Linked DNA regions of Tamandua tetradactyla. The protein of the gene in region 1 interacts with the protein of each later gene in a biochemical or structural test. Links are inferred from orthologs where the notes say so. Each region holds a gene or a part of one and is shown in the gene's direction. Other genes may lie near its edges. The genes, in order: CREBBP, STAT1, ETS1 and TDG.

Region 1 (7,613 bases):
CAATCAGACTCCTGACCTGTTTCCATTCCTTCTGCTGAGAGGGCCTGCCTCCCTCTCTCTTCCATTCTCTGACTCTCTTCTTTCTTTCTAAATTGACTTAAAAGAAAAATTTATTGATCTATAATTCATATACCATCCGATCCCCCCCATTTAAAGCGTGCAATTTAATGGCTTTTAGTATATTCACAGAATTCTTCAACCATCACCACATTCAATTTTAGAGCATTTCCATCATCCCCCAAAGAAACTCTGCCCCATGCTCCCCATCACCTCCTAATGCTTCTACCCCCCACCCGCCACCCAGCCTCAAGCAAACACTGACTGGCTTTCTGTTTCGACAGATTTGCCTACCTGGAAGTTCAAATAATGGAATCATGTACTATGTGGCCTTTTATATCCTGCTTCTTTCACTGAGCACTATGTTTTCAAAGTTCATCCATGCAGCAGCACGTATCAGAACTCCGTTCCTTTTCATGGCTGAATACTATCCCATTGTCTGGATGGAACACATTTTGTTTATCCATTCATCCACTGGTGGACCCAAATGGCCTCTCTCCACCAAATAGCCTCTCCTTCAGGAAACCTTTCCTGACTTATTCCTACCTGTTGCTCCTCTCTCGGCCCCTCCACACCCATTCTCTCAGCTCTTGAGCCTTCTGTAGATGGAAATTCCTTGGTCGTTTACTGTTGTCCCTGCAGCTGGAGGTGGCAAGGTGAGTGGAAAGAGCAGGCAGCCTTGGGTTTGCAACTCAGGTAAGCCACTTGGTAGCTGGGCGACTTCTTCTCCTCTGGGCCTCATTTCTACATCTGTAAAATGAGGACAATACTTTTCCTTCCAGGACTGGAAAAAGCTCATCCGCATGGAGCTGCTGGCAGACCGGCCCAGCATACAGAAGGTTCTCAACAACCCTGGGCCCTCTCACCGTTTTTTGTTTTTTGTTTTTCTTAAATATTTTTATTGTAAACAACAAACATACAAACATTCTTGACATGGTTACACTCAATGGCTCACAATATTATCACATAGTTGTGTTTCCATCACCATGATCATTTTTTAGAACGTCTGCGTCACTCCAGCAAAAGAAAAAAGAAAAAATTCAGGCATGCCATACCCCTTAGCCCTCCCTTTCATTGACCACTAGTATTTCAGTCTACTCAATTTATTTTAACCTTTGTTTCCCCAATTATTTGTTTATTTCTTATCCATATTTTTTACTCATCTGTTCATAGTAGATAAAAGGAGCATCAGACACAAGGTTTTTACAATCATGCAGTCACACTGTAAAAGCTATATCATTATACAGTCAGCTTCAAGAATCAAGGCTACTGGAACACGGTTGTACGGTTTCAGGTACTTCCCTTTAGCCACTCTAATACACCATAAACTAAAAAGGGGATATCTATATAATGTGTAAGAATAACCTCCAAGATAGCCTCTCAACTCTATGTGAAATCTCTCAGCTACTGACACTTTATTTTGTCTCATTTCGCTCTTCCCCCTTTTGGGTGGAGAAGATTTTCTCAATTCCTTGATGCTGAGTCCCAGCTTATTCTAGGATTTCTGTCCCACATTGCCAGGGAGGTTTACACCCCTGGGCCTCTCCCCTGTCTTGACCGTGACCCCAAGCTAAAGGAGGTGCAGGCTGGAACTGTACTTATAGTTTCAACTGTTCTCCCCTTAATGCCCATGCACTGTCCTTTGACGAAGTATAGGATGAGGGGAGAAGGAATAAAAACGGGAGAAAAAGCAGATAGCAGGAAATACCAGAGAAACTATTCAAACGGATACAAATGAGAAGGAATGGGAAGTAAAAAGGGATTGCAGAACAAGCATGGGGCAGGGGGAGCAGGGGGCTTGGAGTGGGGCCCTGTGTCACAGGCCCACTGGACCTGTCCAGTCACTGTCCTCTGTAAGGCACGGAGCCTGGGTTCCCTCAGTTTCCGCCTCAGTAAAATGGGGTATATCTTGACCACTGTGTAGACGGGCATACCCCAGGGATCCCGAGGGCTGGGTTGTGGCCTCCTATGCCCCAAGGCAGGTCCTTAGGTGGTCTGACACCTTGTCTTCTTGGGGGGGGAGAGGGGCAGAGCTGCTGCTTGCTGGGCCCCAACATTTTCAGTCGGCCTGGAAGCTGGTAGGACTCAGGGGAACCTGACATGTTCATTCACTCATTCATTCATTCATCCATCCAGTTTTACCCTGGTCTGTGACTGAGACACAGCTCCTGCCCTGAAGGGCTGCAGGGGTGAGACTGACATGCAGACAGGGCGTTCAGATCCAGGGGGTCCTGCACCCCACGGGGTTACTCTGTGATTCGATCTGCTTCCTGCCTTTCCTGGGCAAAGTGACCTCAGGACCACTTCTGTTTATGGTTTTCAGGTCTTGCTATTTGGCCTCTATCAGTACACAGGGGTTTCTTCCTTTATTCTTTGCCCTGGGTGACTACCTGAATACTAATGCCTTCAGTCGATTTTTAAGAAATATTTAATGACTCAATAATAACACAAATCCGTGAAAAGGACAAAAGACAGAAAGACAAAACATGAGAGCGAGCTATGTGTCCTTTCACATATGCCCGAAAGTGCTGTGGGAGACCTCAAGAGGGTTAGAAGGGCTTCCTGAAGTAGGTGAGGTTTGATTAGGGTTTGCCAGGCACGTGTTCCCGGCACAGGGAATTTGCGAAAGACTAAAAGGGCCCCCACGTTGAGGCCTTCCTGGTGTCTTGATGGCCAAGTGGGGAACAGAGAGCGGGAGCGACGGCACAGGCTGTGAACAAAACAGATTAAAAAAAGTAGAAAGATCACTTAGTCCAACACTCCAAGAAAGCCCTTTGGGTGTGTACTTTAATCAGATTTTTTTTTTTTTTTTCAAGAAGTTAACTCTGGTGCTTCGTGGGGGGGGACGTGGAGCGCGAGAAACACTGAGTGGAAAGCTGTCCCCGCGGCCGGCAGCGGGACTGGGGGAGGGGGCCGCGGCGGGGGGAGGGGTCGGGGCGGCCTCCCCAGGTGGAGGACGTGGGGAGCCTGATGGCGCCGTGGCCGGAGAGGGAGGGAGGGGCCGCGCTGACTCACAGGTTTCTGGGTTAGGAAACCAGGTAGCTGATGACACTTTAAAGATAAGGATTTCAGGTTGCAGCGCCGGCAAGTAACCAGCCGGGATGCGCCCTATTCGGGGCTTTGTGGCGCGGGCCCCGGAGACCTCCGGGACCCCGACCTGGCCTGGAGCACCTGCGGGGGCAAGCGGGCGCCGGGCCCCGCCTGGTGCAGGTGGGGGTGTCGGCGCGTGAGACCTGGGAGCAGAGGACCCCACTGCCCGTGGCCCTTCCAGCCTCCCCGGGATAAGTTCCCCTGCCTCAGTTTCCTCATGTGCACGCGAGGCTGTTCGGAGCCAGCGAACGCCACTACACCTCGCGGACGTCCGGCGAGGGGGCGAGACCAGGCCCCGGCTCGGGTGGTCCCGGCCCTCCCGGCCCGACATGCCCGAGGGGGAGGGGCGCGGGGAGAGGCACGGGCGCCCCAAGAGGGGTAGGCGCGGGCCGGGCCCGGCGCAGACTCCGCCGCTCGAGGCCGCAGCCAGGGACGAGGCCACCGCCCCCAGCCCCGCCAAGCCCGCGCGCCCGGGCCCTCGACACCAAGTCGCCGCCAGAACAAAAGTGGTTGCGCGGCCCTGGGTCCGCAGGCCCGGCCCTAGCCCCGCCGCCCGGCGGCACCACGTACAGCGCCCGCGCCTTCGGCCCTTTCCGCCCGGGAGCTCTCGGCTCTTTCCGCCGCGGCCGGCGCAGGTGGAGGGGGCGGGGCGGGGGCCGTGCGTGGTGACGCCGCGGAGGGGTGACGCACCGGCGTGCCCCGCCCCCTCCCCCTCCCCGTTCAGGCTCTGGAAAGAGAAGAAAAAAAACTTTCTTTTTTTTTTAATTGAGGAATCAACAGCCGCCATCTTGTCGCGGACCCGACCGGGGCTTCGAGCGCGATCTACTCGGCCCCGCCGGTCCCGGGCCCCACAACCGCCCGCGCACCCCGCTCCGCCCGGCCGGCCCGCTCCGCCCGGCCCTCGGCGCCCGCTCCGGCGGCCTCGCTCGCCTCTCGGCTCGGTCTCCCGGAGCCGCGGCGGCGGCGGCGGCGGCGGCGGCGGCGGCAGCGGCGGCGGCGGCGGCGGCGGCGGAACGGGGGGTGGGGGGGCCGCGGCGGCGGCGGCCGCGGCTCCGCTTGGCGCATTGTTTTTCCTCACGGCGGCGGCGGGCCGCGGGCGGGGAGCGGACCCCGGAGCCCCCTCCTCGTCGGGCCGCGAGCGAATTAATTAAGTGGGGCGCGGGGGGGGGGGGGGCGAAGGCGGCGGCGGCACCACCATGTTCCCGGGGACTGCCTGAGCCGCCCGGGCCGGGCGCCGTCGCTGCCAGCCGGGCCCGGGGAGGCGGCCGGGCCGCCGGGGCGCCCCCGCCGCGGAGTGTCGCGCTCGGGAGGCGGGCAGGGGATGAGGGGGCCGCGGCCGGCGGCGGCGGCGGCGGCCGGGGGCGGGCGGTGAGCGCTGCGGGGCGCTGTTGCTGTGGCTGAGATTTGGCCGCCGCCTCCCCCACCCGGCCCTGCGCCCTCCCTCTCTCCGCGCTCGCGGCTCGCGCTCGCTCCTCTCCCCTCGCAGCCGGCCGGGGCCGGCGCCGACCCCCGCCCCGGAGCCCTCTCTCGGGGCTGTTTTCGGGAGCAGGTGAAAATGGCCGAGAACTTGCTGGACGGACCGCCCAACCCCAAACGAGCCAAACTCAGCTCGCCCGGATTCTCGGCGAATGACAGCACAGGTGAGGAGGGGGCCGCGCACTCCGGGGGCCCTGGGGAGGAGCTGTCACCCCCCCCCCCCCCGCTGCCACCCTGCGGCTCGGGGGTCTAAGCGGGAGGGCCGGCGGCCGCGCAGGGAACTCCGTAGTGGGCGTGAGCGCCAGAGGCCGCCCCGGCTCAGCCCTGGCCCGCGCGGCCCTCCCCCTCGGCCCGAGGTGGAAGTTGGAGGGAGACTGTCACTCGGCTCGAGCGGGGCGGCACATGCCTGCGGGCGCTGAGGCTTCCCGGACCCGGTCAGTCCCCTCCGCGAGCGGGACCTGGAGGAAGGAAAAGTAAAGTGGAGGGTGTTTACTTTGTGTGCCAGAATTCCACGCGTCCCTCCGCGGCCGTGTGTCTCCCCCACGCGCGGCTGTCTGGAGGAATGACAGTGGAGGGTACGCTGTATGGTCGGGGCAGGGAAAGATCGCAGCCGGAAGGGACTGACTTGCTGGGTTTTCTGAATAGGTAACGCTGCGCTTTGAACACACCAGCTCGTGAGTTATGACTTAAAAGTTGTAATGTGTTCTTTGGGGAAAAAAAAATGCAAAGTCGTCATTCCGCTTTTTCAAAGCCTCCAACTTGGTTAGCAAGATACCCTGAAAGTTGCTGTGGCGTATTGAATTTTCCATGTGTAATTTTAAAAGAAAGTTGTGTAGCAGCTTTGTTTGAGCCGCAGTCATTTGAGCTTGTGTTGCTTTTAGGATGTAGCTGTTGCAAAGAATTATGTTAAGGAGTGTAGGAATGATCATTTTCAAACAGTTTTAGCACAGCACTGAATCAGTTACTTTTTTTTAATCTCATGCAGCAACTTCCATGAAAACTTTCTTAGGTAATTGTATCAGTTGCCTAAGAAGAGTATTTTAGTTTTCTGATCGTTTAATAAGTCCAGGTTCTCCTGGTAACATTATGGACTAGGTGTATTTTCTTTTTAGAGCTCTCTTATGCAGTAAAAACTCTGGTACCTCTGGGAATGAGTTCATTCTTCATTGCAACTTGCATTTCTCCAGTGCTGTCTGCTGTAGCAGCATCTGAAATCAGTTTAAAATGAATGGATCCAAATTGAATTACAGTGCTGCTGCAGTGTCTTCAGATTTGCAGTAGACACAGCTGTGCAACTTGTAGACATATTTCTGTGACTGACCATTTTCAGATACAAAAATCTGTTTCTTCTGTTGAAACAGCACGACTTTTGTGGGTTCAGTTTTCATACACTCTCTAGAATCCAGTTAGGAAAAGTGGCATGTAATATTAGTTAATGTAGACGTGAGGGAAAATATTTTTAAAAAATCAGTCATAAGTGAGTTTTTGTCTAGTTAAAATTTTGTTAAACACTGGGGGGGTAGAAAATGAATCTCATAGTATATATAAGTTACCAATAATACTCTATTTTTAAACTGATAAGGAGCTTAGTTTGACTTTAATTTTGTAAGTTTCTCTCAAATGAGGAATCACTTATTTGAAGTGAGAAATGTGCAAACAGCCATAATTTAAGTGCCCCAACACTGCAGAGTAGACCCCCTTCTTTCCTTCATTGGATCCTGTCATGTTTGAGTGAGAAATTTTTAATCAATCATACTAAGAACCATCAGCGTGCAGCTTATCTTCTGAAACTGTGTAACTTTTGAATGGCTGTGATACCTTTCTTTTGTTGAATGAAGTTACTGTAGGTTTTGTTTTACAAAGGCGGACAATTTAGTAACATGACATTTAACAAAAAGAGTTAGTTGTTCCTACTGTCTCCCTCTAGCTGTTTCTAAGACAGAACCCCAAGGATGGCTTTTTGGGGTAATTCTGTTACTGGACGGCCAGATACTTAATGTGCTGTTAGGTACAACAGAGTTTATCAGAAAGGATTTTCCACTCTTAACCACATTTTCTTCCTACCATCTTTTGATGGTAAGGAAAAAATGGGTCCCGTTATGTTTCCAGTTGTGGAATAAGAGAGTCAGTTTCTAATGGCGCTGATTTAAATTATTCTAAGAATAAAATTCATGATCATACTTAAGTGCGGGTCCTTGGCTAGGCATTCATCCTCATCACACCAGTACAAAAGGGTCTGTTGGTGTGGGGGCCAAGGAAGAATCATTAGCAAGCAAATTTAACACTGTCCAACCTTGTCACCTAAGCATGGAGGAATGAGATGAACAGAGATTGGATATTAAGTAAAGAAATGACTGAAGTATTACACTAAATACATTGAGAAGAGTGAAGAATTTATTTGTTGGGTGGGAAACTGGGGAGAGACCTGGGAAATACATTCTTGAGAGACTCAACCTTGTTTTCCTGAGGGGATGTCTCCTTGAGGCTTCCAGGAGAAAATTGGGCCAGGTGGAGCAAGGTATGTGTTTGAGGGAGGGGACTTATCATGGGAAGAGGTGAGGAGCTGGGAGGAAGCAGGGCAGCCAGGTGAGGGCAGGACTGCCATGATGCATGCCTGTCTAGGGTTCTGGCCCGGGGAGCATCAGTGTTTGTCTGAAGTATCTGGGGTGAGGGTTGCAGGGGCCATTGAGAAAATGGTACCCCTGACCTTGGAAGCTTCCTAGCCTGGGTACTGCTCAAAGGGGGCTTGCCAGCGAGCCCAAGAATGTGGGTGCCAGCCTGAAACACTCCAGGGATGCCAGGCAGCAGCTCAGCGTGGGATCAGTGCCATGGCCTCCGTGGCCGAGTGGGAGCTGCTGGAGACTGAGGAGGGCTGCAAAGGCTTCTGAGGAGAGCCTGCCCCAAAGTGGGATAGCCAGAGGAAGAAGAGATAGCGCGCTCACCCCACTAAAACTTGAACTCTGAAATAGCAACAGGATTCAATGGCATCG
Region 2 (7,684 bases), on another chromosome or scaffold:
TTCAACTCCAATTGCCCATTATCTTACCCTGTTTCTACCTCCTGCTGGACTCTGTTATCAAGGACATATTCCAAATTTATTCTCGAATGCCCATTCATATCATTGGGACCATACAGTATTTGTCCTTTAGTTTTTGGCTAGACTCACTCAGCATAATGTTCTCTAGGTCCATCCATGTTATTACATGCTTCATAAGTTTATCCTGTCTTAAAGCTGCATAGTATTCCATCGTATGTATATACCACAGTTTGTTTAGCCACTCTTCTGTTGATGGAGATTTCGGCTGTTTCCATCTCTTTGCAATTGTAAATAACGCTGCTATAAACATTGGTGTGCAAATGTCCGTTTGTGTCTTTGCCCTTAAGTCCTTTGAGTAGATTCCCAGCAATGGTATTGCTGGGTCGTATGGCAATTCTATATTCAGCTTTTTGAGGAACCGCCAAACTGCCTTCCACAGTGGTTGCACCATTTGACATTCCCACCAACAGTGGATAAGTGTGCCTCTTTCTCCGCATCCTCTCCAGCACTTGTCATTTTCTGTTTTGTTGATAATGGCCATTCTGGTGGGTGTGAGATGATATCTCATTGTGGTTTTGATTTGCATTTCTCTAATGGCCAGGGACATTGAGCATCTCTTCATGTGCCTTTTGGCCATTTGTATTTCCTCTTCTGATAGGTGTCTGTTCAAGTCTTTTTCCCATTTTGTAATTGGGTTGGCTGTCTTTTTGTTGTTGAGATGAACAATCTCTTTATAAATTCTGGATACTAGACCTTTATCTGATATATCATTTCCAAATATTGTCTCCCATTGTGTAGGCTGTCTTTCTACTTTCTTGATGAAGTTCTTTGATGCACAGAAGTGTTTAATTTTGAGGAGCTCCCATTTATTTATTTCCTTCTTCAGTGTTCTTGCTTTAGGTTTAAGGTCCATAAAACCGCCTCCAGTTGTAAGATCCATAAGATATCTCCCAACATTTTCCTCTAACTGTTTTATGGTCTTAGACCTAATGTTTAGATCTTTGATCCATTTTGAGTTAACTTTTGTATAGGGTGTGAGAGATGGGTCTTCTTTCATTCTTTTGCATATGGATATCCAGTTCTCTAGGCACCATTTATTGAAGAGACTGCTCTGTCCCAGGTGAGTTGGCTTGACTGCCTTATCAAAGATCAAATGTCCATAGATGAGAGGGTCTATATCTGAGCACTCTATTCGATTCCATTGGTCAATATATCTATCTTTATGCCAATACCATGCTGTTTTGACCACTGGGGCTTCATAATATGCCTTAAAGTCAGGCAGCGCGAGACCTCCAGCTTCGTTTTTTTTCCTCAAGATGCTTTTAGCAATTCGGGGCACCCTGCCCTTCCAGATAAATTTGCTTATTGGTTTTTCTATTTCTGAAAAATAAGTTGTTGGGATTTTGATTGGTATTGCATTGAATCTGTAAATCAATTTAGGTAGGATTGACATCTTAACTATATTTAGTCTTCCAATCCATGAACACGGTATGCCCTTCCATCTATTTAGGTCTTCTGTGATTTCTTTTAGCAGTTTTTTGTAGTTTTCTTTATATAGGTTTTTTGTCTCTTTAGTTAAATTTATTCCTAGGTATTTTATTCTTTTAGTTGCAATTGTAAATGGGATTCGTTTCTTGATTTCCCCCTCAGCTTGTTCATTACTAGTGTATAGCTGTAGTTTTCTTTTTTTGTAATATCTTTGCCTGGTTTTGGTATGAGGGTGATGTTGGCTTCATAGAATGAATTAGGCAGTTTTCCCTCCACTTCGATTTTTTTGAAGAGTTTGAGGAGAATTGGTACTAATTCTGTTTGATTTTTAAGCAGCCAATATGATAGTCACATTTATAAAATACATGTAGTTTTCCGGTCCAGGATCTTACAATGTTGGCTAGATAAGATTCGGATGCTTCAAAAACCATAACATAAGAGAGTGTGTGTTTTCTGGGAAGGTGTTTGTCAAAATAAGTAAAGACACTAATTTATTATATTATTTCAGAGACTAGACCAGTCACCACAGGTTCAGGTGGTTCTGGAAGGAATATAGGATTTGGGCTGAGTCTTGAAAGTTGGATAAGAATATAAGTGAACAGGATAAGACGTAGGACTTGTCATTTGGAAAAATAGTAATGTGCAAAAGGGCAGAAATGAGTAGACTAAAAACTCGAGAGAAGGGCAGGGGATAGGTAAATTAAGTTGATTAATGGGACAATGGGACACAGGTGGGAAAGAATGGTAGAGAATCCAGACCAATAGACAAAGTGTTGTGATTATCATAAACGCAGTAGAGCATTATTAAGGGTTTTTATATCAAATAACTTTATCAACGTCGTGTTTTGGGAAATTTAATTTGGCTAATAAATAGGTGAGGAGAAAGAGGCAGGAAGAAGGTAGTCTGCCTAGAGTCTATCATAGTATTCCAATTCTAAAGTTATAAAGCCCTCCAATTCTATCAGGGCTTATAATGGGATATGGTCAATGACAGTAAAACAAAGAAAGATAAAGGCATAGAGTAGGAAGCACCCGTAGAACTTGATGACAGGATGGAAAGAGCCAAAAAGAGATGCCCTATTTGCAGATATTAGGATTGTTCAATTCCCACACCAACCCTGAAGCGATTCTCTGTGCAGATTTTATAGTACCAGAAGATTTTTTTAACTTGTTATCAACCCATCCCAGGGTTGGCTTTTCTCAGAGAACAATACAACATTGCATCGGCCCTTCATACAGGTGAGCAGAAGGTGAAGGGGCTTTCCAGTTGTTTGCAGCCCTTTTAGTGGTCTGGCATCTTTTTGTATACATGGCTGGTTCACCTTTACTTTGGTACCAGGGACATTCCTATCAGTACTGGCTTTGTGAGGGTGCAGGTGTGACAAGAAGATGGAGTACAGTGGGACCTTGTTTTACATTAACTCACACATCCTAATTTAGGTATATGTCAGTGGTGATCTAAATAATGAAGGCAGAGTGAATTAAAAATTTTTTAAATTACTTCTATGATTAATTTTGTTTTCTTAATGTTACTAGAGTGTTTGCTTTATTTATTTAAAAATGTGCGGTAGCTACGTTCATATAAGAAATTAAATAATGGGGTTTGCTATTATGCGCAAGCGCGATTTCCAATTTACTCAAAGGGTCTTGAAATGGTATTGGTCACGTAAAACGAGGTCCTACTGTATTATAGATGTGGAACTAGTTAAATACGATAATCCACATTGATATGCATATTCCTGGTGAATGATTTAAATCTCGTAGGAGAAGACAAACTCTCTTACCCAAAATTGCCTTATTATTCAAGGCTTGATTCAAATCTTTAGCATGTGAAGGAAGAAACCAATTGGTTTTATGGACACATTATCCAGGAAAACCTACTTTAACTGAGATTTTAAGCTGAGAAGTAAAATATGAGTTAGCCAGCGAAGAAGTTGGGGGAGGGAAGGAGTTGGCCCAAGGGACTTCCCAAAGACGGAGACCTGCTGGTGAGAAGGCCCTGCAGTCCCTTTCTGATGGGAAAGGTCCTTTTATGGCGCACAGGGGGAGGAAGAGCATGACATGTGAAGAGCAAAAAGGTTGAAGTAAGCAAAGGGAAGAACAGCACAAGATGGAGTCAGAGAAAGTGATAGAGAAATCAGGGCTTTGTATACTAAGGAAATTTTGATCTATTAGAATGGCAAAGAAAAGCCATCATAGTATTTTCAGGTCACAATGACATGACTTGCTTTGCAATTGAAAAAAAAAAATCTTTCAAACTATTGTATGGAGAGTGGATTAAAAGGGGCTAAGAACAAAAGTGAGGCAGCCATTGGAAATCTACCACAGAAATCCAAATGAGAGATAAGTGAATGGGGTTTGAGAATTACTTAGGAGGAGTACCAAGGCTTGAGGATCAGGTATAGGGGTGAAGAAGAAGAAAAAGTCAAAGATGAATCAGATTTCTGGTATGTGCTATTTCTGGGGGAAAAAACAGGTTTGAGGAGAAAGATGGTGAGTTGGGTTCTAAAAATAATGAGCTTGCAGAGCCTGTGAAACATCCTGGTGGATTGTACATGGTGTGCAGCTAGCTCAGAGAAGTGTGGACAGGATGCATAGGGGACCCCACGTCTAGAAAGCCATTGGAGCTATGGTGAGGCCACCACGGGGCAGTTTGAGGAGACACGTAGGTAAAGAAGTAGATCAAGGTACGCGCCTGACACCATTTAACGGTTTGGCAGTGGTGGTGGAGGCAGCATGAAATAGCAAAAGAATGACACAGAAGTAGGAAGAAGCAAGGCGGGTATATCATCATTGTCAAGGAAGAAGGGTTTCAAGTCAACTGTGCCTGTGTCTGAGAGGCCAAGTGTGAGGCAAGGAAAGCGTACCCTGGGTTTGGAAACATGGAGGTCAGTTGGATTGAGGACGTCCCCAACTCTGTCCTCTGCCTCAGGTTCTGAGTATGGGGCCAATGCAGGGATTTCCAAGTTTGGGTCTTTGCAAACCCAGAACTTCCTTTCAGCTGTTCTCTAAAATTTGTAAAGAGAACCTCCAGTCAGTTAAATTGCAACACAGACTTGTCATTCAGATCATGAAAGCGCAGAACCCGCTTGGAGGGTTAGAAAGGACGCGCTGGCAGGCGGGGAGGCGGCGGCGTCCACGGAACAGCCGCGTCCGATTGGCCGCAGCCGCCGGGTGACTGGAGGAGACGGAAGGGGGCCGGGCGCCTCGCGCTGCCTTTTCTCCCGGTTGGTACTTTCGCTTTCCTGCGCAGCCTGCACAGTAGCACTGCCACGTCCGGGTACCGCGCCTGCTAGACCCCCGGCCTAGAAGAGGTGACCCGACGCGTCCGGGAGAGGCAGCATCCGCGCTTCTCCTCCGCTGCGGCCTCGAACGTCCCCTTCCAACCCCTGTCCGGCTCCAGCGCAGAGTGAGTGGGTGTGAGGTCCCGGGACGGGGGCTGTAGAGGCTGTGCAGCTGGACGTTTTCTTCATTTTCACAGAAGGATTTTCTTTGCCTTGTGTCATCCTCGGGAGCTGGCTAGTTTAGAGGCTCGCGCTGTGCATGCACACCCAACGGTCTTGGCATCCAATGTGCTGAGTGTGGCTGCTGCTTTGGTTGGGCTCCCCAGCCCCTAGCACCGTGGCTGGCACAAGGTGGCCGTTCAATAAATATTCGTGGAAACGAATGAATGAGTACATGAGTTTGGAACCTCAATTATGTATATATGTTTAAAGATAAAGGAACTTAAATATCTTCTGGAATTTAAGAGCGGTATTTAGTTCCTGAAGCACCCAAATAACACAGTTTCTCTTTTAAGAGAATTCCGACCAGTTCGGAAGCGTTTTGAAGGTATGTGTGGGGTAGCTGTGTGGTTGATTGCGCTTTGAATGTTATATGCATAGGTTGGGGAGGGAGTTGGTTTTATGAGATAGAAATAAGCCTTAAGCCTCCAGCACAATCCCGCATGTAACTATCCCTTAAGGAGGATGCTGCTCCAAACTTTTTTTTTTTTTTTTTTTAACATGGGCAGGCACCAAGAATCGAACCGGGGTCCTCTGGCATCATAGGCAAGCATTCCTGCCTGCTGAGCCACCATGGCCCGCCCTGCTCCAAACTTGTTGAACCACAGTATGGTTTGCTTTCTAATTCATTCTGAAATTTAAAAAAAAAAAAAGTATTTTGGTTTTCAATTCAGCACACTATTATTGAGCACATACTATGTGCAGGGCACTGACCTAGGTTCAGGGGATGAAAAGAAGATAAGATTTGGATCCTGCAGCTCTGGGACGTCCGCCAGGTAACGGAGACATCATAGAGTTTTACAGGGAAGACTGGGAGGGATTGCTCTAATATAGGGGCGCAGAATGCAACGCCGCACAAGTTGATCAAAGTTTGTTTCTGAGTAAGTGCGTTTTAGACAGTTTTATGGAAGATACAAGATTTCTGGTAGGATTCGGAGAGGCAGAAATTTGTGGAGAGGCTGTTTTCACTACGAATAATAGAGCAAAGCAGATATGTGGGACACAGCTGAAAACATAATGTGGTGACTGGGGATGAGGGTTGCTTTGCTGTTGGATAAAAATGGGGGTGGAGTGGGAATCAGCCTGGGAATGTACAAACCATAGTATCTTTGAGCAGAGGATGATGTCATCCAACAGGTGTGCAGCAAGAGGCTGGACTGGGAAGAGAGAGTATTGGAGACATGGAGGTAGCAGATCTTGAGACTGGTAAAGGAGTCAGTGTTGGATTTGGGGTTCGAGCCAGGTGACTTGGGGATAGTGATACAGCTTCCTCAGGAGTAACAGGATTTGCCATTCTGGATGTGCTAACATTTATTTATTGATCATCTACCCTGTGATGGGGCTTGTGTATGTACTAGATCGGCCAGTGTTAATAACCACCACGTTGATAGGGGAGTGAATCACCTGAGGTTATTAGGTTAAGCAGTGTGGTAGCCTTGGCTTGGCTGACACTTAGTCCAATGTGTTGGCTTTAGGTACATCCTTATTAGACATCTAGCAGGGAGGGAGAGAGCTGCAAATGTGGAGTCTTCTGCTCAGGTAAAATAAATCTGAAGTGAGAAATCAGATTGCTACAACAAGTGTCCCCAGGGGTGGGCCTGAGTGCATTTCTAGTATTATGGGGATAGTAACTGGCATTACAGTTATGCCTGCTTGCATGCACGCACACTCCCATGCCCTATGAAAATCCAGACGTCTACCTCAGAGGTCCGGCAGGACAAAATTCACTTTTGTCTGCTCTGAATGTTGCCAGCCATGCACTGATAGAAATCCTTGGTTATAGCCATGGTGATGGGAAACCCTTCATTATCTCACCCATCTTAGGACTTCCCTAAATCAGGTTTTTGTTTTGTTTTTTAATCTTTAGAGCTGCTGTGTAAAACTTGTCGTTTCAAATTATATTTGTTTCGCTTTAAACTTTAAAATCATTACTGAGATTTAATGCTTTTTTGTATACCAGATTTATTGTTTGCAGAAGACAAAGAGAAAAAAGTATGTCTTTAAAAATGTATAATCCAGAGCAGTGCAACGGTGACTCAGTAGCAGAATTCTTGCCTGCTGTGCCGGAGACCCAGGTTCAATTCCCAGAGCCTGCCCATGCCAAAAATAAAAAAAAAATAATAAAAAATTTAAAAAATGTGTATAAACAAAAATAGTTAATTTTATCATAGGAATCATATAATGTAAAATACCACTTTAAAATCCTTTGAGTTTAGCTACAAATGTACTGTATTTGTAGGGGAGTTAATTTTATCATAGGAATCATATAATGTAAAATACCACTTTAAAATCCTTTGAGTTTAGCTACAAATGTACTGTATTTGTAGGGGAGCAGTTTTTGGAATGGTCTTGCAATTTGTACCAAAGCAAACCTTCAAATTGAAGAATGCTTTATATTACTTTATTTGATAAAAGTAAAGATTTGTTTTAAAGGCATATTAATTGAGCATCTCCTCCATCTGACACTGTTATGGGGATACAGTAGTGAACAAACCCCCTCCCTCTCAGCCCTTCCCCTTATACGTGAGGACAGACAATAATCAAAATGAAAAAGAAAATATATGGTAGGTCAGATGGTACTAAGTGCTATGGAGAAAAATAACTCAGGGAAGAGAGATAGTGTTTTCCAGGATGGGAGGTGGTTATAATTTAAATAAGGGGGCCAGAGAAGGCTT
Region 3 (7,639 bases), on another chromosome or scaffold:
ATGTGTGAGTCCTGCTGATCCATCTGTGGCTCAAGACCAAAGCTTAGCTTTTGATCACGGAGAAGAGATACATTCATTGCAAAGTACAGGATAAGAAGTTCCAGAGCTGGAGCGTCAATAGACAAAGGTTCTCTACCCTTCGCTTTCCTTTCATCTTATCTTTTGGGGCCTCTTGGAAATTTGGTGCTGACTATGCTTGTATCTGAATTTTACCACTCCCCCTCCCTGCCAGTTTTGATAATTTGTTTAGCTCCTGCTTCCCTGCATATATAGAGTCTTCTGAAACACTGGAAGTTGTTCTAAGTGAAATGGAAGGGAAGAGAGGAGATGCAAAATGCAATAAATGGCTGATATTTTTCTTTGTTTCTCATCAAATCGAATGCATTTTCATTTCAAATGTAACTGTTTCATGTGTTGAGAGTGGTTTAAAGAACCACTATACGTTTCCTAGAAGGGGATTTCTGCATTTTCATGGGAATTAAGGTGGGAGTGAGGAAGGCTGTTGGTAGGGTCGAAGGTCCTTGCAAAGCTAAGATTCTGGGAATTCAGCTTTTCCATTTTTCCTCTTCGTAGATACTAACTTGCAATGTAGCTTGTTAGACAGAAGAAAAGAACAAGGTGTCTTCAACATTAGAACAGCAAATAAGTTTTATTCAGGCCCTATTACAATTTCATCTACAAGATATTGAAATCGCCCTCTTGGGTTGGGTTCTGGAGATGCACCTTCACAAGCGACTCTTTTTGTATAACTCTTTTACATGGTGGCCAAAAGGTATACATGTCCCCCAAATCGCTCTCTTGAACATCTTAAAGTCTACAGTCATCTTAAATGAGGTCCTTTAGTAGAGCAGAACAAGGAAATGAATGATCAGTGTTGCCTTCCCACTTTAGCACAATCATCCAATTAATTATTCAGTTAACTCAATAACATTGTCAAGTTGGACTGGTATTATTACCCTTTTTGGGACTGATGTCCAAACTTAGGTTTTAGAACATAGGGAGCGGAGGAGGGAGGCAAAGCCAGGTTTTCTAGTCTCAGATCCTGTGTTCCTTTTTATGAATTCATGCCCTTTTCTTCAAGAGGATCATTTTACTTTTGCCCTATGTAATCCATGTGGATCAGAAAGCATAACCTCTGTGGGTGGTCTACTTCCCTCTAATGCTACATTTTTGAAGATACTTTTTAAAGCAAAACTTCCTGTTTTCTCTGGACATCTCTAGGTGATTTAAGCATGGTGACTTATATGAACCATTCAGGTTCCTACTTGTCATGCACTGACTGATAAGTAGATTGGTAAACAATGGTATATACATTTGATCAAATATTGTGCTGCTACAAAAAGGAACGAAGTTGTGAGGCATGCAACATTATGAATGAATCTGTGGGGCATTTGATGAAGCAAAATAAGCCAGAAACAAAAGAGCAATTACTGTACGTCTCATTTAGAAAATGCTTATAAGAAAACTGGTGCCTACATTGTAAGCTCTTATAGCAGTCTTATTTAGTCTAGAACGGTAATTATTATTTCTGGATTTTTAGAAGCTCTTTTATATACATATAACCTGCTATGCAGAGATAAGAACAAAGGTGATCAGGTCGAGATTAAGGTAATTCAGAACATAGGGGTAAGGAAGACATTGTCTAGATTTTAGAACTTCATCTACTCTTTAAGGCCAAATAAAGAAAAGTTATTTTGTCCAGAACTTAAATTTTCTGTAGCACACAATCTAACTCAACCTGTCTAGATAGCTTGTTTAAACAGTTAAAACACAGGGAGTTCAGAATAAGAATGAGCCTTTAATTCTGTATACCTTAATGTAATGCCTGGATACATCCCAGAATACATGAAGGAGAGAATAAAAAAATATTGGCAAGGTTCTTTGAGGGATGGGAGCAAAAATATGGAACTATTAAACTTTACCACTGGGGAAAAGCCTGATCCTAGACGAAGCAGCCAAACATTAAGGACACCCAAATCAGTAGGCCAAGCCCTTGAGCTTGAGGTTTGTTCTTGTGAAGCTTATGTATGTAGCAGAAAAGCTTAGCGTACCTATAGGTGTACCTAAGCGTCACCTCTGGAGGACCTCTTTTGTTGCTCAGATGTGGCCTCATTCTCTTTAAGCCCAACTGTGCAAGTGAAATCATTGCCCTCCCCACTATGTGGGACTTGATGTCCAAGGGTGAAAGTCTCCCTGGTGGCATGGGAGATGACTCCCAGGGATGAGTCTGGCCCTGGCACCATGGGATCAATTATGTCATCCTGATCAAAAAGGAGAAGAGGAGTGTAGAAAATCAGTTACTAGTGGCTGAGAGAGTTCAAATAGCAATTGAGAGGCTACTCTGGAGGTCACTCTTACACAAACTTCAGTTAGACGTTGCTACCTATCATAACTTGCCAAACTCCAATGGAAAGCACTCCAACCAGTCCTAAAGAACACCTAGGGTAATATATAAGATTCTACAAAGGTTCCATGCACTAGGGTAACTTTCCAGAAATCTACAGCCTCCAGATGGGTTCCTGGATCAGATAAGTCCTGAAACCTAGAGGGCCCAGCCTCTCCAGAACATCAGCTAGTTCCATCTCCTTAGCCCATATTATTGACAACCCCTTCCAACACAAAAAAGTTAGAATGGGCATGGCCCAATTATCCCTAAAGAATGGAAGAAAGTGGAGTTATACAGAGAAGGTAAAGTTTAACAGATGTATATGATTGCTGAATCATTATATTGATATTTCTATTAGTCTCCAGTATCTTAGAGCAGCTAGAAGTAAAAACCTAAAATTGTGGAATTGTAACCCATAGCAAACTCTGTAATCTGTTCTACAATTAATTGTTGTGCTGTGTGTGGAAATTTATTGCTTTTTTGTATATATGTTGTTTTCATAAAAAAAGAAAAAAGTGATTATATATATATATATATATTCCTTCTAACCTCCAATGTTCTGGAGCAGCTAGAAGGAAAAATCTGAGAGGATGGTATGGTAGCCCATGACAAACTCTGGGATCTGTCCTGCAACTACTTGTTGAAGAGTGCTCTGAAAATTAGTGCTTTTCTCTTTCTTTGCTTTGTATATATGCTATATTATACAATAAAAAAGTGAGAAAAAAAAAGATTCCTCCTGTCTTTTACACAAGATAGGTAGTGGCGGAGGATGGAACTGGCATATTTCAAAGGGTTACTCCCTATATAAACTCTAGGCAACCCCAGACTCCATAGTCCCTCAATTATCACTCTGTACCTGCTTTAGGCCAACAGTCCAACTCTTTCTGCATTGCTTTTTGCTTTCCTCTTCTGAAAAGACAGAGAATACAATTGTAACAGTTGTGATTGCTTTAATTGACCATAGGCTCTTTGAATGGGGGCTACAGGTTGGAACCTACCAGGCTAGGGGAGGTTGGCTGAAGTTTCAGTACCTCTCTTCATAGACTTCTCCCACAGCATACATCGCGTTTTAAGGAGATGGCTCATTTATTTGTCTGTCTTCCCACTACAAAATGAATTTTGTTATACTTCTAGTTCCCAGCACAGTGCCTGACCCAGACATTTATTAAATTGAACAAGCAGCACCATCTCTTCCTTTCTTCCAAGCCACGGCAACATGCAAAGCCAAAAGATGAGCAGTAAAACCTTGTTTGAATCCCATCAACATCTGAACTGTGTTACCAGCTTTATGTAACAAAAAGTACTGCTGGATGATGGTTTAGTAGATTTTCACTAGCTTTCAAAGTTGTGCTTTTGTGTCTCCATTGAAAAGGAAAAAAAGGTGGCCACCATGACAAATGTTTGCTCCCATCTATTACTCACAGAAAATAAAATCTTTTAGGATAAAATTCCTAGACGAAGCAGCCAACTGTTGACTTTCCAAAGAAATCTGTCATGAAATAACCGTATCAATAGAAATGAGATTACACTCTTGAATAGTAAATGAAAGACGGTGTATATCCTCACCTAGAACAGATGCAAGATTTTTGTATTGTTTATATTTTCTCTAGACTAGAACTATATGACTATCTCTGCCTTTTTATTCCTGCACGATGGACCACGAATCAGTCAGTAAGAGTAATCTACTCTAGAGAGCACCCCAAGCCAGATTTACAGGAAAAGCGTATTTGAGCTTTACTCTTCAGAAATTCCCACTCGGTGCTTAGTCAGCTCTCTTCCATACAATTGCTTTTTCCTTAGGAAATATCGAATTTCACATCAGGTTGAGAGAAACAAGCAAGAGGCTGGAGAGGTGACTGAGTGTAGGCATCCTGCGTGCCCGCCACTTAACAGAGAAAAGGAACAGGTCTTTCTGACCTGGTTTTATAGCCCTCCTATCCCCCGGCTAGATTCAGCAGGGACTCCATTGAGAAAATCAAGAAATTTGAAAAGCTTGAATACGGACACATTCAGTAGAGAGTAAATCGAATGCATTAGCCAATGATAACAGCCTTTTCCTCCTGAGCTGGTTGCCTTCTCGGCATCTCCCTCTTTTTCTTCCCACCCCCGGGTGAGGTATATTTAATTGCAGCAGAATTTGAGGGCTAGGAAATAAGGTGTATTTGATGTTAACCACAGCCAGAAATGCCGCTTGATTCTTCCCTCTAGACCACAGCGCCTGTCCCTGTGCGCGCGGTGCCAGGAACTAACGAAGACTGCATTTTTCCAGCTTTCCCTGGTTTGACCACACCCCCCAATTTAAGGAGGCAGCTCTATTAGAAACATTATGGTCTTCGCCTCCTCTTTAGCTCCGGAGTAGAGGGTTCCCGCAGGTAGTTGGAAAGAGACCACGGACCGTGAGGGAAGCTCACTCAGGATCTACTCTTCACTCTGTCTCTCCAGCAAAGTAGTAAGTGAGGTGTGAGTTTCTGCCTAAAACTTTTGAGCCCATTCTCCTTTTTCATTTTCCCCCCCACTCTGTGGAATTAAAGGGTACGTTGACGAGGACTTTCAGGATAAAACCTGGTTTTCTTTTCGCATTGTGCTTTATTTACCATTCAATTGTTTATTTCATGACTATTTTCAGAAAATAGTTCCTAACCTTGTCCGAATAACCTGAAATCAAGACCATGTTTCACTGTCTTCCTGTCTTTATAAAAGCCAAATCCTTCACGGTTTAGTTACTTGCAGCTTACTTGTCAGAAACTCAGGATTCTTTCTTAGTGCATCAGAGCAGTTCCAAAGAAATGAAGCCACAGTTAAAAGATTGAAATTTCTTTCTCTTTTTCTCTTTCATTCCTAGCAAGCCTATTGTTTCTCTCTCTCTCTCTCTCTCTCTCTCTCTCTCTCTCTTTTTGCATAGTGAAGCTTAATGAATTGCTTTCATGGAGAGGACAATTAATAAATGTTGGAATCTTGCAAGTCAAACTCACCTTTTTGGTGTTTTCCCCATTCTGATTCTGACAGTTCTCCAAGGGTTTGATAATCCTTTGGACTGTAGTTGGAGGGAGGGTGTGTCTCAGACTCAGGGGGGCATTTCTGTCTGCGACTGGAAAGCCGGACTTCAGTAGCTGCTTAGGAGAAACAGGATCTGCGGATGGCGACTCTTCGCCACTCAGTTTTTCATCCACTCTGCAAGTCGCTTCTCAACTACTGTAAAAATTCCTCTGCGACCTCCTCTTAAAGTAGCATTTAGGTGGGTAAACTGCTCAAAAAAGATGCTGGGTCACTGAGCTCAAAGCATTTGATTGTAAATTTTCCTTATTACTTTGTGGACAAAGTTTTTCTTTCTTTTTTTTTAATTCTCAAGGTCATTTTTTCTTTTTCATTCTGCCTCTGTGCAACTGGAAAAAAAGATGTTTGTTAAACAACAGGAAATACAGATTCTACAGTGATAATCTGGCAGCTCCATTTGATTTGTAAAATTACTGATGCTTCAGCTCTTTCATCAGCTGTGGTTCCGGACTGCATCGCCTCTTCTTTATCTAAACAGAAAACCCTTTCGTTCCTGCAGGCATGTGTGATGCACTGGGAGCTGCTGGGTCGCTACTGGTACTGTTCTTACAGAGGAGGGAAGGGACAGCTAATGCATTAATGACTGCAAAGAACTTTGAAGATGAAAAGGTCTTCTCATGCGTTCAGTGGGTAGTGGTTAATATTAATATTTGAAGAAACTGGCTGCTTCTACATGTAAATCAGCAACTTCCATCTTCACCAACTCTGTAGGGAAATAACACAGCGAGGGCAGCTGGGCAGCCTCATCCCTGCTGGTTCCACTGTTGAGGAAGTGGGAGGCTGAGTTGGAACCTACTGAGAGGTTACTTTGACATTTACACGCTCCTTGCGCTAAGGTGCAAGATGGTGGAGAGGCAGAGAGTTCAAAGAGTAAAGCCTGGGAGAGGGGGGTTAGGGGCTGGAGTCCTTCAATGTCTGGCCATCTGTGGCCTTGGACAGTCGCACCGGACCCACTACCAGCAGGAGACCACGATGGGGTTCAAAGGCGAGTGTGGCCAGAGCCGGAACCAGTGCTGGGTTTGGAGTCTGGAGTGGTAGATGGGCATTTGGGGCTCTGTTACAGATTAGCTTTTTTTTTTTTTTGGCATGGACCAGCACTGGGAATCGAACCCGGGTCTCCACCGTGGCAGGCAAGAACTCTGCCACTGAGCCACCATGGCCTGCCCCAGATTAGCTGTTTAACTGAGAATGAGCTATTGAACCTGGCTGTGCCTCATTTTCTTCATCTCTAAAATGTGAACAACCACATGTGCCCCGCCTGTTTCACAAAGATGAGAGAATAGAAAGAAATAGCATAGAGCTTTACAAAACAAAAGCGTCAGTAAGGAAGTGGGGCGGAAGAAGTAATATTATAACAAACAGGGTGCATGGGTGCAGGCCCTAGGGGAGGGCAGGAGATACTATGGAAACAAATCATTGGCCCTTAGGTTTCTCTTTATTGCACTTAGAGGTTCAATGCCTTGGCGAATTCCTTACTGATAATTCAGGTTCTATTGTACCTCATAATATTCTTTATTGTTGAACAGATCTGTTTCCCACAGCAACTATCCTTTTCTAATTACCCATTTGAATCCCCAATTATTCATATCAAACCACAGAAGGGATGGTTATTTCCTAGAGCTGGGGTGTCTGTGGCCTCCCTCCCTCCCTCCCTCCTTGCTTCCCTCTTTCCCTACTACCCTCCCTCCCTCCCTTCCCCCTTTCTCGCTCTCTCCTTCTCTCTTATCCTCTCTTCCTCTCTGCCTCTGTCTCTTTCTTTCATGGAAATTCAAAACTATTTAGTATTTGAGAAAAACAAATATGGCCTGCAGCAATTTAGTGGTATGTCTCTGAGGGCATTTGACGCAAATCTTGTAGGTTTCTTCCATCCTGGGGAAACCGAGATATTCAACACTAGCTCTTTTTTCTTTTTTTCTTTTTTTGCCTCCTTACTCCTTATAGCCTTGTTGCTGCTCAGCTTTCTAATCTAGCTGATTCTCTGCATATGGCTTTCTCACTTCACTGCGGAAGGATATAATCCTTGATGTTTACTGAGCACCAGGTGCCTTCCAGGTTCTTTGCTAGGTGCTTTGCAGGGACGACTTCCTTAATCCTCGCTGACATCTTTGAGGAGTGCGCTGTTGGCGTCCCTGTTGAGAAGGGTAGTGTTAGGGCCGATTGAATAAGTGGTGGGACCGTGGTTACGCCCAAGGAGTGTGA
Region 4 (8,006 bases), on another chromosome or scaffold:
CCGCGTCCTCACCGCCCCGGCTCCCTCACCGCGTCCTCACCGCCCCGGCCCCTCACCGCGTCCGCCCGCGTCCTCACCGCCCCGGCTCCCTCACCGCGTCCTCACCGCCCGGCCCCTCACCTCGTCCTCACCGCCCGGCCCCTCACCGTGTCCTCACCACCCCGGCTCCCTCACCGCCCGGCCCCTCACCGCGTCCGCCCCCTCACCGCGTCCGCCCGCGTCCTCACCGCCCCGGGTCCCTCACCGCGTCCGCCCGCGTCCTCACCGCCCCGGGCCCCTCACCGCGTCCGCCCGCGTCCTCACCGCCCCGGGTCCCTCACCGCGTCCTCACCGCCCCGGCTCCCTCACCGCGTCCGCCCGCGTCCTCACCGCCCCGGGCCCCTCACCGCGTCCGCCCGCGTCCTCACCGCCCCGGGTCCCTCACCGCGTCCTCACCGCCCCGGCCCCTCACCCCGTCCTCACCGCCCCGGCTCCCTCACCGCGTCCTCACCGCCCGGCCCCTCACCGCGTCCGCCCGCGTCCTCACCGCCCCGGGCCCCTCACCCCGTCCTCACCGCCCCGGCTCCCTCACCGCGTCCTCACCGCCCGGCCCCTCACCGCGTCCGCCCGCGTCCTCACCGCCCCGGGCCCCTCACCAGGTCTGGCCGGTAGCATCTGTGCACCGCCTGGGCGCCAGCGCACATGGCCAACAGGCCGGCCGCGAACAGCTTCAGGTAGGCGGGCCAGGGCGTGCCCGCGGGCATGGCGGCGGCGGGCGGGGACGCCGGGCTCAGGCGGCGCGGTCCCCGCAGCGGCTCCCCCGCCCCCGTCGAGCCGCTAACGCGTTCCCGGAGCGGGGCACCCAGGAGGCCAAGGCCGCAACCGCGTACCCGCTCTCGGCCCCGAAGGCGTCCCTGGGGGAAGAGAACAGGACGCCGAGCCCCGCTGCCCGCGTCGCGCTCTCTCAGCCCCCACAACCCGCAGGCAGCCCCGCGTACCGCGGCGCTCACCAGGGCGCGGAGGACGGCGGAAGCGCGCGGACGGCGGCGGAAGGGCGCTCGGGTGCCGCGGCGGACGGCGCGCGGGCGGAACGAGAGCGCACGGGCTGGGAGCCCCGCCGGACCGGAAGCCGGGACGCCGCGCCGCGAGCACGTGGCCCGGGCGGAAGTGGGGGCAGCCCGAGCCAGGGTCCCGGGCTGTAGGCTCCCAGGCCCGCCCCGGCCTGGGGTCCCCGCCGACCCGCGCTCACACCTCAGCCCAGGTCACTGCGTCGTTTGTCCTTCAGCGCACACGAAAGAAGGCGCAGGCGCCTGGTCCTTCAAGATCGCGAAGCGGTCATCACCCGAAGAGTTTCTCGTCGCCCCGGCGGTGCCCGCCCACCACGCCCACCGCCCCGGCCTCTCGGCCCGCGGTCTGCTTTCTGGACTCTACCGGGTGTGACGCCGTCATCCGCTCATGATGCTGTAGAGCTGTTTGAAGATCCAGTCACGTCGTGTGTATCAGTCGTTCGCTCCTTTTATTGTGAATCCCTATTGTATTTCTATACAAAAATTGGTATATCTATTTGCCTGTTGCGAACATTTTCAGTTGTTTCCAGTTTGCGACTGTTATGAATGAAGCTGCTGTGAAAATTCATATACAAGTCTTGCGAACATATGCTACCGTTTTTATTGGGTAAATACCTAGGAATAGAATGGCTGCGGAATACGATAAGTGTTTATTTAACTTCTTAAGAAACTGCCAACTTCTTTCCCAGTGTAGTGTATGCGAGTTCCGTTTCTCCACATCTTCTCCAGCATTTAAGTCTTATCAGTCTTAAATATCCACCGTTCTGATAACTAGGTAATGGTGTTGCATTTTGGTTTCACTTTGAATTTCCCTCATAATTAATGATATTGAGCCGCGTGTCATGGAAGTTACATTTTCACTGGTGAAGTGTCTGTTCAGATTTTTCACCCATTTTAAAAGTTCTGTTGTTCTCTTATTGAATCTTATTGACTTTGAACTTTTTTTTAAATATATCTGGGTACAGGTACTTCTTATCAACTAGCTATTTGACCTCCAAATATTTTCTTCGAGTCTGTGGCTAGTCTTTTTCTTTTTTTTGTAAGGTGACTTGAAGAACATAATTTTTTATTTTGATGAAGCCCGATATTTGACACTGTTAGTGTCATATCTAAGAAATCCTTGCCTAGCCCAGAGTCACAAAGATTTTCTACTGTGTATTCTTTTGAGTTTGTTTATGGATGCAAGTCAATGGTTTTTTGCTTATGGATATCCGTTGTTCCAGCACCTTTGGATGAAAAGACTATTCCTTCCTCATTGAATTGTCTGGGCAGTTGTCCATCTATTTGTAAACTCCAGTATGAGTCCATATATACATGGACCCACTGATAGGACTGTCTTGATTATTATTGTCTTATAATAATTCTTATAATCAGGAAGTAAGCCCTCCAATTTTGTTCTTTTTAAGAGTTATTTGGGCTATTCTATTCTAGATCTTGCATTTCCATATAAATTTTAGAACCAGATTGTTAAAATTCTAAAATAAATAATAAGACTTCTGAATGCTAATGGGATTTTGAATATGATTGCACTGAATCCAGATCAATCCGGAGGAAATTAACATCTTAATAGTATGTAGTCTTTTGACTCTTGACCCCAATATATCTCTTCATTTATTGAGTTCTTAATTTCTCTCAGCAATGGTTTATAGTTTTCAGGATACAGGTCTTGCACATCTTCTGCCAGATTTATCCCTAGTATTTATATTTTTATATTTTTGTAAATTATGTTTTTTTTAGATTGTTGGTTCTTAGTGTGTAGGATTACAGTTAACTTTCCCATATTGATCTTTTGTCCTGCAACCTTGCAAAACTCACTTATTACTTCTAGTAGCTTTTTTAATTGGTTCTATAGAATTTCCTACATAAACCAACATGTGATCTGCAAATAAAGAATAGGTTTATAGAGTAGGTTTTTTGTAGATGATGTTTATTAGATGGAGGAAGTTCGCAGGGAAGTTTCCTTCTATTCCTAAGCTGTAGAAACTTTTTATCAGAAAAATGGATGTTGCTGTTAATGCTTAATCTGCATCTACTGCAATGATCATGGTTGGTTTGTTTTTTCATCTGTTAATGTGATGAAGTACAGCTGATTTTCAGATGGTAAAGCACTCTTCTATCGTTGATGTATATCCAAGATCTTTTTTACACATTGCTGGATTTGATTTGCTAAATTTTGTTCAGAATTTTTTTCATTTATGTTCATGGGAAATGTTGATGTGTAGTTTCTTGTACTGTCTTTGCTTTTGGTAATATGGGTTTGCCCCATAGAATGAGTTGGAAATTATTCCCTCTTCTTCAATATGGAAGAGTTTGGCAGAATTGGTATTCTTTCTTATTTAAGTGTCTGGTAGAATTTACCAATGAAGCCATCTGAGCCTTGAGTCTTCTTTGTGGGCAGGTTTTTATCTACAAGTTCAAAATTTGTAATAGATATAGGGATATTTGGATTCTTCATTGCTCCTTAAATGAGCTTTGGGAATTTGTATCTTTCAAGTATTTTGCCCACTTCATTTAAGCTATTCAATTTATAGAAATAAAATTGTACACAAATCCCTTATTACTTTTCTCCCTTATTATCCTTTTAATATCTGTAGAGACTGTAATTATTTCACCTCTTTGATCCTCACATTGTATCCTCTTTTCTTCACATTGTATCCTCATTTCTTCACATTGTATCCATCTCGCTCAAGCTATATCAATTTTATTGCTCTTTTCTGATGTCATTGATTTTCTCTGTGATTTTTCACTGAGTTTACACTCTGATGTTTATTTCCTTTTTCTGCTTACTTTGATTTTAATTTGCTTTGATTTATCTAGTTTCTTAAGGTGGAAAGATGAGGTGGTTGATTTGAGACATTTCTTCTTTTCTACTATAGGCAATTAGTGCTCTAAATGTCCCCTAAGTACTACTTTAGAGATACCCCACGATTTTTTATATATTTTCATTATCGTTCAGTTCAAAATACTTTCTAATTTCTCTTTTGATTTTCTTTGTGTCATAGATTAAGTTTGTTCGTTTTTTCAACTCTTTGGGGATTTTCTTAAGATCTTCCTATTGGACAGGGTGTTTTTAAAAAGTTCCATAAAGTTTAGAAGTGTCAAAGATTCAGTAATACTTTAAACAGTCAATATAATATAATCTTGCCGTAACTCTCCATGAAAGCCTTTTCCTGGATCCTAGAATAAAGACAGCACATGGAGCACAGAGCATTAGCCCTCTCCCAGCCAACATGTTACACGAGTGAGAAATGAACCTTTGTTGCTGTAAACCACTAGTATTCTGGAGTTATCTGTTACCACAGAATAAACTAGGGAAAGCTAATAAAGTAGTTGTATTTTTTTATCTCGCAAACTAGAGAAACAGAAAAATCTGTCTCCATTAAGATTTATTTGAGTCCTGTGCAAACATCAGTGATGGAAACTGACAACTAACAACGAAAAACAGCTACAAGAGCCATTGAGAAAGAAAACGGGCGAGTCTGGGAGGCTGTAAGGAGGAACAGATACTTGCGTGACGTGTACTATCACAGATTTCAGACTTCATCCAAATAAGAGAATTTCCATGCAGAGCTTTACCTTTCACAAAGCAGTTTCACAAGCACCCTCATTTTATGTTACGAAACAAGGCTCACGATGACACAGTGGTAAAGCCTTGCTTCCCAGGTTTTCCGAGTTCAAAGTCTCTTTCCTCTACATCCCGTCAATTACTGTTAGCTAATGCAAAACACAGTTTTATGATAAAAGTTTTAACCGTAATCGAGTCTTGGATGGAAAAGACTAGATACATTGGTTCTCAATGAGCTCAAATGCACCCCCCCCCCCCGCCGGCGTCCCAGAAGTCCCCATTCCCACGCCCCGCCCCGGAGGCGTCGGCGCCCGCAGAACAGCTGCGTCAGCACGATGCCCCGCCTACTTTCCTCCGCCACCTTCCCGAAAGGCTCAGCGGCGGAACTGACAATCGAGGAGGGGCGAACGTGATTGGGCTACCGAGCGTCACCTAACGCCCACAAGGCGTGCACTTGGCTCCGCGCAGAAGGAACCGCCGCGCGGACTTGGGGTGGGGGAGGGGAACCAGAAGCTTGGGGAGGAGCTTAAGCGCCAGCCACTGGGCCAGTTCTTGAAGCCGGCGGCCCCAGGGCTCCGGTTACCGTCGTCCGCCGCAGTACACGGGGCTAGGCAGAGGTCAGGCTCTCGTTAGCTTGATAGGAAACTGCTCACGCAAGCGACAGCGGGAATGGAGGCGGACAACGCGGGCAGGTAAAGCCGGGTGGAGCTCCCCCCTCCCCCAGCGCCCCTCGCGGAGGTGCGGCGCGCGCGTGCACGTATGCACACGCATGCGCACGCGGGGCGCTTTCAACGCTGCGGCCGGAACACAAAGGCCGCGGCCGCGCGTGCGCACTGGGGCCTTCGCGTTGGCCGTCAGTGCTCAGGGTCGGTGTCTGGCACCCCCGAGCCCCGCTTCCCCGCCTCCTGTCACATCTAGTTAGCTTTAAAATGCGTTCGTTGCCTACCGTCAGTCTCCGGGTAATCTTTCTTTCCGGTTGCGTTCAGGACAGCAGTTCTCACTCCGTTACCGCGTGGCGAGGTCCGCATAGAGAAGAGGCAGGTACCGGCTCCGGCTCCGAGCGCCTCCGGGGGTCTGTCTTTACGCGAGGAGGTGCTCTGTGGCTTTCCCCGGAAAGTGCAGTGGCGGCACTCGCGAGGGTCGCAGGACAGGTCGTCGTGCTGCGCCCGAGCCGCTGAATTCCGGGAACGTGTGGAACACTCCCGCGAGGGCGCCCCGAGGCCGAGTTTACCGGCGGTCTCGGGGACGAGCGCAGGAGTCTGTCTTTAAGTGTCCTTTGGGGAGTGTTAGATTTGGAGTGGAAATTTTGCAAAAGCAGAACTTTAGAGATTTAGAGTCCTGGCAGAAACCAAATGAGAAAATAAATAATTAGGCACGGTGATAGGGTGTTTAAAAAGAAAAATATTTGAAGATTTGCTTGGAGTAAAATACTACTAAACCGAATGAAAAAGTATTCTGAGGCTCAGAAGCTAAGAGACCCTGAATTTATGCAAGGCACTTAACTTCTCTGGGCCTCCTCGTGTCTGAATTAAGGCCGTCTCTGGAGTCCACTGCTGACATGCTGGGAATCGGTATGTCAAAGGGGGACGCTGACATAACAAAATTGTCTTAGAGTTTGGGAACAGATAAAATGTGGAACAGCCTGATTTTGTGGGTCAAACTCTGGAATAAAATATTCCACTTCTTTCCCCGAAGAACTTTACAAATAAGAGAATTCATCGGAATTCGTGGAATCTCTCTCATCTTTGTGATCTTACTTCAACGGAAAACTGAAAAATGGGTAACACCTATCAGCAAATAAATTACACATTATGAAACCTCATTCAGTGTCTTACAGTATAATATGGGACTCTGCTGTACTGTTTAGTTCAAAGCTGTGGCTTGAATATGCTGTCTTAGCCTCATCCCCGTAGGGCTGTAGAACATTTTTATTTTTTACTTGCAAACTTAACCTTTCAGAGATAATGGAGGGTGCTATGTGGATACTCTGAAATGGAGCTCTAAAATGGCACAAGCCCCAGGAAATTCTGAGAAAGTGGTTCCCTGTCACCCTCCAGTTTGTGCTCATCAACGAATGGAATGCTAAATAGAGTAAATTTACTCTTTAATTTACTCTTTATTTCTAAAGATTTCTTGCAGAAGATTTAAAGAAAAATATTCCATTGATATAGACTCTAAGAAGGGAAAATAGTTCAAGAGTCACAAGAAGCAGTTACACACTAACCCAGACAGGTGAAAAGGAGGAATTATATAAGGGGACCAATAAGGAACGTTTACAAAGATGGGAAATTGGATGCCAAATCAAGAGTGGCATGGACCTCTAAGCCTGTCGACAGGAAAGAGTAGCCCTCGGATGACGTCAGGTTCTCTAGAATTGTTAAAAGAGACCAGATAGGGCTTTCTTGGTTAGATTTGGACAAGAAAGATGAGAAGGGTTTGGATTTTCTGTCCAGGCCTGTGGCATGGCAATGACAGCAGAATCGTAAATATTCAGTTCTGATTTTGGTTTTTTGCCTCCCATCTTAAGAAAAATATTGTCAGCCTGCAAATAGCAGAATGAATGCCCATAAGAAAGCTTTTAGCTGCTCTAATGAAATCATATTTCTTGGCCCAGATGAATTGTACTTTAAGTGAGAGGCCAGATTATAGCAGTCTTTGAATATTTACACATCTTCGCAGTAGGTCAGGGGCCTAAAGCCTGAATGTAAACACATTAGTCCCTTTCCCCCCAAAATGTGGAATCTGTGTTCTAATTTATTGACATTGTTCTTGAACAAATTGCTTGAATTTTTACTTATTAGTAGTTCCTGAGCATTCTTAAAAGAAACTAGTGATCACTGTATTATAGTGTAAGTTCAGAAAAGAGACCTACCAGATTAGGTTCATTCCTTGTGGGATAATGATGCTGGGTGTAACCTGACTAGCTAGACAGCATCAGGGGATGCTGAGAAAAGGAACCTAAAAGGTTTGATCATCTCATGATATCTTTAATTTTTATTAGTTATTGCTATAGCAGGTTTACTATATACCTGGCACTGTTCTGATTGCCCTATGTGTGTTAACAATTTAATCCACAGACCAGTGAGGTTATTGTTGTTTTACAGGTGGGTAAGCTGGGGACCTAGAGAGGTTAAGGACTCGCCCCCACATAGATATAAACTCAGGCGGTCTGGGTCCAAAGGGTACCTCCCGAGCTAACAGCCGTGCTGTGCCTCTTTTCTTTGCGGGCAAGGTGGATAGCAACTGTTGGAAATCAGGTGAAATCTAAACTAGTTTACTGCTGAAAGAGTTGAGGGTAGGCTGCAGAGAGGTCCATCTGTTGTGCCATTTAGCTGTTTCCCTGAATTTGTGGTTTTTCAATAGTTTAACAGCTTCAGGGTGCTAACGGCATGCCC

Evidence for each region.
Region 2: the proteins of CREBBP (region 1) and STAT1 form a complex in vitro, tested with the Homo sapiens proteins (5 studies listed by BioGRID, with this or other methods). The link is inferred for Tamandua tetradactyla from reciprocal best matches to the Homo sapiens genes CREBBP and STAT1.
Region 3: the proteins of CREBBP (region 1) and ETS1 form a complex in vitro, tested with the Homo sapiens proteins (3 studies listed by BioGRID, with this or other methods). The link is inferred for Tamandua tetradactyla from reciprocal best matches to the Homo sapiens genes CREBBP and ETS1.
Region 4: the proteins of CREBBP (region 1) and TDG form a complex in vitro, tested with the Homo sapiens proteins (2 studies listed by BioGRID, with this or other methods). The link is inferred for Tamandua tetradactyla from reciprocal best matches to the Homo sapiens genes CREBBP and TDG.

What each region holds. Positions count from the first base shown.
Region 1 is NC_135349.1:53,354,517-53,362,129, forward strand, and holds the start of CREBBP (CREB-binding protein), read left to right. Parts: upstream 1-4,604; 5' UTR 4,605-4,702; coding exon 4,703-4,787; intron 4,788-7,613. UniProt on the Homo sapiens protein: Acetylates histones, giving a specific tag for transcriptional activation. Mediates acetylation of histone H3 at 'Lys-18' and 'Lys-27' (H3K18ac and H3K27ac, respectively).
Region 2 is NC_135329.1:164,781,560-164,789,243, reverse strand, and holds the start of STAT1 (signal transducer and activator of transcription 1-alpha/beta), read left to right. Parts: upstream 1-4,684; 5' UTR 4,685-4,915; intron 4,916-4,972; exon of another isoform or gene 4,973-5,337; intron 5,338-7,684. UniProt on the Homo sapiens protein: Signal transducer and transcription activator that mediates cellular responses to interferons (IFNs), cytokine KITLG/SCF and other cytokines and other growth factors.
Region 3 is NC_135334.1:8,005,373-8,013,011, forward strand, and holds the start of ETS1 (protein C-ets-1), read left to right. Parts: upstream 1-4,632; 5' UTR 4,633-4,835; exon of another isoform or gene 4,836-4,844; intron 4,845-7,158; exon of another isoform or gene 7,159-7,569; intron 7,570-7,639. UniProt on the Homo sapiens protein: Transcription factor. Directly controls the expression of cytokine and chemokine genes in a wide variety of different cellular contexts. May control the differentiation, survival and proliferation of lymphoid cells.
Region 4 is NC_135333.1:174,111,086-174,119,091, forward strand, and holds the start of TDG (G/T mismatch-specific thymine DNA glycosylase), read left to right. Parts: upstream 1-4,991; 5' UTR 4,992-5,280; coding exon 5,281-5,303; intron 5,304-5,407; exon of another isoform or gene 5,408-5,477; intron 5,478-6,242; exon of another isoform or gene 6,243-6,702; intron 6,703-8,006. Other genes in the region: UQCC6 (ubiquinol-cytochrome c reductase complex assembly factor 6), read right to left, coding at 636-743. UniProt on the Homo sapiens protein: DNA glycosylase that plays a key role in active DNA demethylation: specifically recognizes and binds 5-formylcytosine (5fC) and 5-carboxylcytosine (5caC) in the context of CpG sites and mediates their excision through base-excision repair (BER) to install an unmethylated cytosine.